Linked DNA regions of Macaca mulatta. The protein of the gene in region 2 purifies or fractionates together with the protein of the main gene of each other region. This does not show direct contact. Links are inferred from orthologs where the notes say so. Each region holds a gene or a part of one and is shown on either strand. Other genes may lie near its edges.

The links. The genes of interacting proteins can lie anywhere in the genome.
Region 1: the proteins of ARMC8 (region 2) and TCEAL9 purify together in Homo sapiens (affinity purification with mass spectrometry; 3 studies listed by BioGRID and IntAct, with this or other methods). This does not show direct contact. The link is inferred for Macaca mulatta from reciprocal best matches to the Homo sapiens genes ARMC8 and TCEAL9.

What each region holds. Positions count from the first base shown.
Region 1 is NC_133426.1:109,998,125-110,001,925, reverse strand, and holds TCEAL9 (transcription elongation factor A protein-like 9), read right to left. Parts: upstream 2,509-3,801; 5' UTR 2,378-2,508; intron 1,892-2,377; 5' UTR 1,824-1,891; intron 1,370-1,823; 5' UTR 1,297-1,369; coding exon 979-1,296; 3' UTR 502-978; downstream 1-501. UniProt on the Homo sapiens protein: May be involved in transcriptional regulation.
Region 2 is NC_133407.1:41,184,343-41,188,454, reverse strand, and holds the start of ARMC8 (armadillo repeat-containing protein 8), read right to left. Parts: upstream 2,866-4,112; 5' UTR 2,848-2,865; coding exon of another isoform or gene 2,803-2,847; intron 2,006-2,802; exon of another isoform or gene 1,951-2,005; 5' UTR 1,878-1,950; coding exon 1,875-1,877; intron 1-1,874. UniProt on the Homo sapiens protein: Component of the CTLH E3 ubiquitin-protein ligase complex that selectively accepts ubiquitin from UBE2H and mediates ubiquitination and subsequent proteasomal degradation of the transcription factor HBP1.

The DNA.
Region 1 (3,801 bases), on a different chromosome or scaffold from region 2:
TCACACCATTCTCCTGCCTCAGTCTCCCAAGTAGCTGCGACTACAGGCGCCCGCCACCGTGCCTGGCTCATTTTTTGTATTTTTAGTAGAGATGAGGTTTCACCATGTTAGCCAGGATGGTCTCAATCTCCCGACCTCGTGATCCGCCCACCTCAGCCTCCCAAAGTGTTGGGATTAGAGGTGTGAGCCACCCAGCCTTGGGTTTGTTCTTAATCACAGATAAGAACTACTTTCTCCACCCTTCCAAATCCCTGAAATTAATCTCTTATGGAGTTGGGAATGGGAACAAAACTCTGTCAAACATAGCTCACAGTCATTACCTTATTTGGCCCTCACCAGATCCTTGTGAGATTATTTTCTTTATTTTAAAGATGAGAAAATATGTAAAATTTATTATTCTAGCTAAGTGGTCTGGAGTTGCTTTGAAGTTCACATTTGCTTCTAAAATTCTGTCAACAAATATTAAATGCCCCAATACGTTTTGAAATAAACTAGTAAGTGCTGCTTGTTGCTTCTTTTTGTTATAAAGCTTTTATTATTCTAGCAATAATAATGTGTGTTAATTTTAGGAATATAGAAAATACAAATAAGCAAAAGGAGAAAAATCATTCATAATCCCACCACCGAGAGGCTATACTTTCTTTCATCCTTCACAAGTTATGTCCATATATGTAATATACAAATGTACTTTTTACCTTTCAAAAATATGATATTCACATATTACTTAGCCTTTTTTCCATTTTATATCCTACCAAGAACCTCTTTTTTACAAATGAGTAAAGTTCTTTTATTAAAAGACAGAGACTTGTAGATTGGTTCAAAATACAATAAACAATGAGATGCAGATAACAAGAGATACATCTAAAACCATTAATAGCAACAGGTTATAAGTAGAAATATGGACAAAGGAATATCAGGAAATGCTAATAAAAAGCAAGCTATATGGTATTGTTAATATCAGATAAAAATCAAGGTAAACTACATTAAATAGGGGTAAGGGTGGTTTCGATTAACCTTCCAACGCATCACTATAAGTTTGTTTCTGACTCTCCTTATCTCGTCTATTTCATCCACTTCTCTAAACATATCTTCATTGCTTAAATGCCTGTTGTGTATATCTTCTTTAAACTCCTGGAGAGATTGAATCAGCCTTTCTCTAAAAGTTCCTTTTGCTTTGGCCTCCTCCTCTAGCTTCTCCTCCTCCTCCTCTGGCTTTTCCTCAGGCTTTGGCTCTTCCTCATGCTTTGGTTCACTCTCATTTTCTGGTTTTCCTTCAATTTTTTGACAGGATTTCATCTTGTATCTCTACCTCTCTTCCTTCCTTCCTTCTTTTATTTTTTTGCTTATTCTTCTTGGAATACAATAACTTCTAGAAAGCAAAAAGAAGACAGTAAGTTAAAGACTTGGTGAGTGGACAGGTGTTGTGGACAGAGGTCTCAGCATTTAATTTTTTTTTATTCAGACTGTTATAAAATATCTTCCACTAAGAAGCCCAGTCAGCAATCAGAGCTTCACTATCCCCACTCCTCTTACCTCCACTTTCCACCTCCTCACTTCTCCTGTCCTTCCCTCTAACCTTTTCCAAGGCCCTTCTTTCCGCCTCCCAGCCCTCCCCAATCCTTTTTCCCCCATAGGGCCTAACACAGGGACCACGCCAGAAAAGAGAAAGGTGGCTGGCTGGCAGGCAGAGGAAGAGGGGAAAGGAGAAGGGGGAGAGAAAAGAAGAGGGGAAAGGGGTGGGGTGGAAGGGAGCCGGCAGGAACAGTGGAGCTTACAACCTTTGTCTCCACCCCAGGAGACTTTATAATATTCCTCTCACCTACCTGGCACTGATCGGGTCAGTTTCTTCCTCCTCCTTTTCTAGCTTTGGGTCTTGCTAGAAACAACAGACCTGCAGACAAACGGGAAACGGGAGGGGACGGTGGGGGTGGGGCGAGCGCTTGGTGGGCCGACCAGCGCCAGAGACTGACACACGTAGCTTTCCTCCTTTAGGGTTTCGAATATGGAAAGTTTCCCACCTTTTGTTTCCTCCAGTTCACCCCCTATCCACAGTGCATGCAAGTCACTTCGTTTTTCCCATCAAACAAAGAGTGAGAAAGCAGATTATTTCCAAACTATCTTTAAGACTGAGGCGGGTTCGGGAGGAGGGTGGGGGTCCAGAAAGCAGGATTAGATAGCAGAGGACGATTATTTTTAAACTATCACAGGTCTACTTGTTCTTCTCCTAGGACCCCTAGTCCCTTTCCCAAGGGTCATCAGTTCCTGTAGACCTGGAGGTGGAGGGTGGAGAGACGGACCTGACTGGCACTCCCACAAGTCTCTGCCTTAAGCCCCCCCACCCTAGAAATCCCCAGTCAACACCTACATTGACACCAACCTGCAAAATTCCCGCAAGTTTCACTCCTTCCACTAGCCTCAGGGACCACCGCCTGCACTGCTGAAGGAAGCTGGTATCCAGACGGGAACAAGGACCAGACTACCAGGACTTCTGCACACGTCGACTCCTGGTCACATGAGATCTACGTCACCAGTGAGCTCGGGTCCCTAATTTCCACTCCCACCAAAAGCGCGGCAGAAGTGGGCCCACCCTCTGCTCCCTCCCCGCCCCCCACTTACACATTTGGCCCTGTCAGTCTTTTCTGTTGTTTCCTATCCCGGAGGGAAAAATGTTATTTGCTTGACTCTGATTACTAGGGAGGGGCTACCTCTTTTTCTGGAGCTATTGAACTTTTCTACTTCTTTCGAGAATTGTCTCTTCCAGTCTTCCGCTCCCAGGATAACTCCTCCATCAGTCGTCCCTCCCCTAGCCTCCATTTCCTCTGCAATCTGGTTCTTAGCTGTTGTGGAGCAGGGTGGGCTTGGCAGCAGTTGTGAAACAACAACAAAAGACCCTGGAACAAGAGTGAGATGTTTTAATGCAATTTTTACTGTTTATTCTTCATACTTCTATATTCTTTTTTTAAAGGTAACTTTAATCTTTCTCTCTCTTTTTTCTTTCTTCTTTCTTTCTTTTTTTTTTTTTTTTTTTTGAGACAGAGTCTCACTCTGTTGCCCAGGCTGGGTTGCAGTGGCGCAATCACAGCTCACCGCAGCCTCAAACTCCTTAACACGAGCGATCCTCTCGCCTCAGACTCCCAAGTATCTGGGACTACAGGTGTGTGCCACTATGCCCAGCTAGTCTTTTAATTTTTTTGTAGAGACAAGGTCTATGTTCCCCAAGCTGGTCTCCAACTCCTGGGGTCAAGTGATCCTCCTGCCTCAACCTCCCAAAGGGCTGGAATTACAGGCCTGAGCCACTGAATTGGGCAACTTTTATCTTTTTATAGTCAGAAAATACAAAGACAAAATTACTTTAATGACATGAGTTAATATATGTACAGTGCTTAGAATAGTGCCTGGCATATAGTAAGTGCTTTTAAAGTGAAAGCTGTTGTTATATTACACATTTGTGAGGAAGATGATTCAAAATTTTTTTTAAAAGAGTAATGTTTGATTCCAGAGTCCTCATGGTGGTGTTACCAGGAAGCTGTGCTGCCTGAAGAATCATCAGTTAATCAATTGTCAGGTACGCATTGTGAGCCTGAGTTTCCTCATCTGACAGAAGGGAATAATAGCATATGCTCATCGAATTGAGATCTATTGAAAATAAAAATGAGTTAATTTTTCATCTATACAATTAGAAAATACAAATATTTATTATATTCAGAGTTGAGGATATGGTAAAACAAATATTCACATGTACTGTGAGAATATTAAGTAATACAACATTTTTGGAAGTCATTTTGGCAATATCAAACTTTG
Region 2 (4,112 bases):
AAAAATACAAAAAATTAGCTGGGCATGGTGGCGGGTGCCTGTAATTCCAGCTACTCAGGAGGCTGAGGCAGGAGAATCTCTTGAACTGAGGAGGCGGAGGTTGCAGTGAGCCAAGATAGTGCCACTGCACTACAGTCTGGGCAACAAGAGCAAAACTCCATCTCAAAAAACAAAAAAGAAGATAAAGAAGAAAATAAAGAATCTCAACTCTGAAGCTGAATATAAACTTGGGCCTTTAGGCAAAACAAACTCAATAAAGAAAAGAAACCGAGGAGCAGCTGTGCAGAGTTCTTTAGGAAAATTAATGTAGACATTGGGCTTGCACTGAGGGGGTAAGACACTAGAGACAGTAAAAATAACTAAAAGGACGCTGTGGTAGTGCAGGCACAAAACAACAAGGTCCTGAATGAGGGTGGTCATGGGAACAGAAAGATACGAGAAACACTAAGAATAAAGAAGCAACAGAGCTTAACAACTGATAGATATAGGGGGATGAAAGAAGGAAGAACCAGAGATTATTCAGGAGGTTTAACAGTGACTCATCAGTAAAAGATAATACCATTAACAGAAATTGGGAAGTCATAACTAATTCCCCTTAGGAGAAGGAATGTGCTTTGCTGGAAGCGATGGGTGTCATCCACACACAATTTAAGATACAAGACTAGATGTATAAGAAAGTCAAGGTTGGCAATGTAGATGTGTGAACTGATCAGTTAAGGTTATAAGAAAATCAATGAGATCTCCCAAGGAGAAGGTATAAAGAGACTCAAATGGAAATCCTTTAAAACAACTTGAAGGCCTCCTTGCTGAAATTATGTTTATCAAGTTACACCATCATTCAGACTAGGAGCTCCTTAAACACATTTCTGATCTCATCCTTGCATTCTCTAAGGTATACAATGCAGAGCTTGTACATAACTGGTACATTGTAGCTTATTAAAGGAATCAACCATTCAAGATAATTTCTGATGAATACTTCCTGTTCTAGTTTGCGTTTCAAAACGTGGTGCTCTGGGTAGTACTTTGAAAGGTACAGGTTTTACTTTAAATTAGTAAAATCAGTGAATTTAAACATCTTAAATCATTTACCCAAAAGCTCCTACTTCCCCCCCCCCCCCAAAAAAGCCCCTAATTAGACTAGGGCTAAAGGCAAATTGTAAATAGAAGTATTGATAGAAAATACTCTTCAAGAAGTTTTTGAATAAGCAGAAAACATTATTTACCAAGGAAGTGAAACAAATGAAAACTTTAAATCATATGCATCACACAAGTTGACAACATCCAAAAAGTAAGCTTCAGGTGAACTGAAGAATAAATGAAACCTAAATGCATAATTAAAGGGGAACTGAGAACAGCCAAGACACACACTTTTTTTATTTTTATTTTTTAACATAATGAGGTAAAAGTCATTGGCCTGCACTCCCACAAAATATTCCTGGGTATTACAGTCAGTGATGGAGTAACAGGCTAATCTGATATAATACTTAGGTAAACGGTATTTCCTTAGTTGCAGTTTAAAAATAAGAAAAAACGACTGCTAAAATGGATCGGGGGAAAAATCTGTTGACAGGCTCACAAAATTAAATTATTATTGTATTGACAACTTAAGCCTTTTCAAGGTTGAGGTCTGCCACACCGCTCTAACCCTGAATCATAAGCAAATGTCCTAGCTGCTTTCAGATAGGTGTTTGTGGGACAAGTCAGAGAAGAGAAAAGAAACCGGTTGTAGTTACAAGACTCTAGCAACCCGACAAGTCATTTATAATCCAACGACCCTCTCAGTATCAGACGGGCTTCCACAAGTCTAAAAGATGGTCAATTAGTATGTGCCTGCTTGTTTCCAACAATAGCAAATGAACCATTGGTAAACTGACCATTCTCAGAGTCGGACAGCTCGAATTTGTTGCAAAATCCTTCGAAGTTATCTCCCAGTAACTTTCATTCCTGGTCCTGGTTCAAGAGCAACATAGTGAAAGGTGAAAGTCGTCTTTTTCTTTAAAAAAAACTTTTTTTAAAAAAAAACAAAACAGGTTTTACTTCCTCGCATGTCAATACGTTCCCTTCTTTCAACAATGGGGAAATCTCTCCCCCTTTTCCCCCCTTCAATGTTTGACTCCCCTTAAAGAAAAACGGAATACCAGGCACAGGGAACATAGAGTTCCTTTGACTCAGAGCCGCGACCTCTGAGCAGAGCGGAGGAAAGGGGCTTAAATAACCACACACACTAGGAAGAGTCGCAGCTGATACGAATCACCATTGCCAAAAAGCAAACAGCTTCAGCCGGTGCCCAGGTGCTGGGACGCAATAGAAGTCGCACAGACTTGGCCTGGCAGCTCTGAGGAAATGGGGGCCAAGGAGCCTGCACCTCTTCTTGCCAAAGCCCGGGAGAGCTGAGTGAGCTTTCGTTCCCAGGCCGGCTGCAAGCCTGGCGCTTCACAAGGCAGAGCGCTCGGCCCCCGGGAAGCGGCATCTCTAAGAGGAAGGCTCAGTGAAACGCTTGGCAAAGTCCAAGCCGCGCCGCCGGGCCAGTTGTCTGTAAGCCCAGCTACCCCGCCTGCCAGACGCCATCCTGGAAACCCGCACCGGCAGGAGCTCCCGGAGTTGGAAATGTCTTTGGCTCGGCCGGGGTCCCCTCTGCCCGTCTATCCCGCCTGTCCACCCTCGCTCACTCCCTGGCCCAAGACTGAGCCGGGGACCACCCCAGGGGGTGGTGCCCAGGAGGCACACCACGCTTGGGGGAATGGTGGAGACCGGGATGGGGCTCCCTGGAGGGCGGGCGGGCGGCCGCAGCGGGTCACTCACCGAAAGGACGCTCATGCGGATTGGGGTCTCTAACAGGCACGCCATCTTGAGCCTTCCCACCCGGCTGCTGCAGGCGCCGGCGCGGGGGCCGGCACTTTCGACAGCCAACTATTGGCCAACGCTAGTCATCGCTCCTTAAAGACAGCCGGATAGACGAGAACTGGTCACGCTCTGGACACCGCTCAAGTACCAGAAAGGCCCGCAGAAAGAAGGGCAAAAGGGAATCGCGTCAGGGGCTGTCCTACGAATCGTTCTCTCAGAAACAGCAGCTACTCTGAGCCTGGTTTAGAGGTGGGAGCGGGCAGCGGTTTCCGCATGCGCAAAGAAGATCTGCCGGCCCCACCTGCCGCTCGCGGTGGGCGGGGCCCTAGAGGCGGAGTCTCGCCCTGGCGCTACGAGCTCTACCGACTGATAAATTGCAGTTTGTGGGTTCCCGTATTCATATTTGGAAAAAGTAGTACGTGGAGCCATATACATAGTTTGAAGTTCACTTTCATATTCATTCTCTCTCTCTCTGCACCAAACTCCCGGCGTCGTTATCTCCATTTTATAGGTGGGGAAATTGCGATCCCAGAACCTTTGTCAACCATAAGAGTGATTGTTTCACGATCCAGTACAGAAGTGTGACTTGCCTTAGGTTGTGTGTCGGCCCCGTTTATTCTGGTGTAGTGTTGAGAATAGCCAGAATGCTTGAGCTTCTTCCCAGCTACTTCTCAGCTGCTTTACCCTGGGTAAGTTATCTAACCTTATGTTTTGAGTTTCCTCATCTGTAAAATAAAGGTTAATGAGGATAAAGGAGTCAACAAATGTGAAGCGCTAAGAAAAAACCTAAAACATGGAAAGCGTTATACATATGTGTTAATGTTTCTCCAGCTTCTGAGTTAAGTGGGGAAAATGGGGGCAAATATCTAAATATTTCACACTAAAACACTCTGATAACCGAAGCCAAATAAAAGTATGCTTTTAATTATAGTTGATTAATTCAGCTGTCCTACTACTTTGTGTGTGTGTGTGTGTGTGTGTGCGTGCGTGCGCGCGCGCGCAACACTGCCCTTGACTTGGTTGGACAAGTTTCACCTTCGTACTGCTTGCAACCAGTAAGGTTTTCACAGTAGGGTTGCAATTAGCCTATTAACATTACTTGTATTCCTTCCATTTCTATAGCCACACCCTAATTCAGGCTCTTGTAACCTCTCCCCTGGACTAGAGCAAAAGCCTTCCAACTGGTCTTGTAGCTGATAGCCTCTCCCTCACTTTGCTCTTCACTGTTTTCCTGTCTTCCTCCTGTACTTGGTTTCCAAATTTAGTAT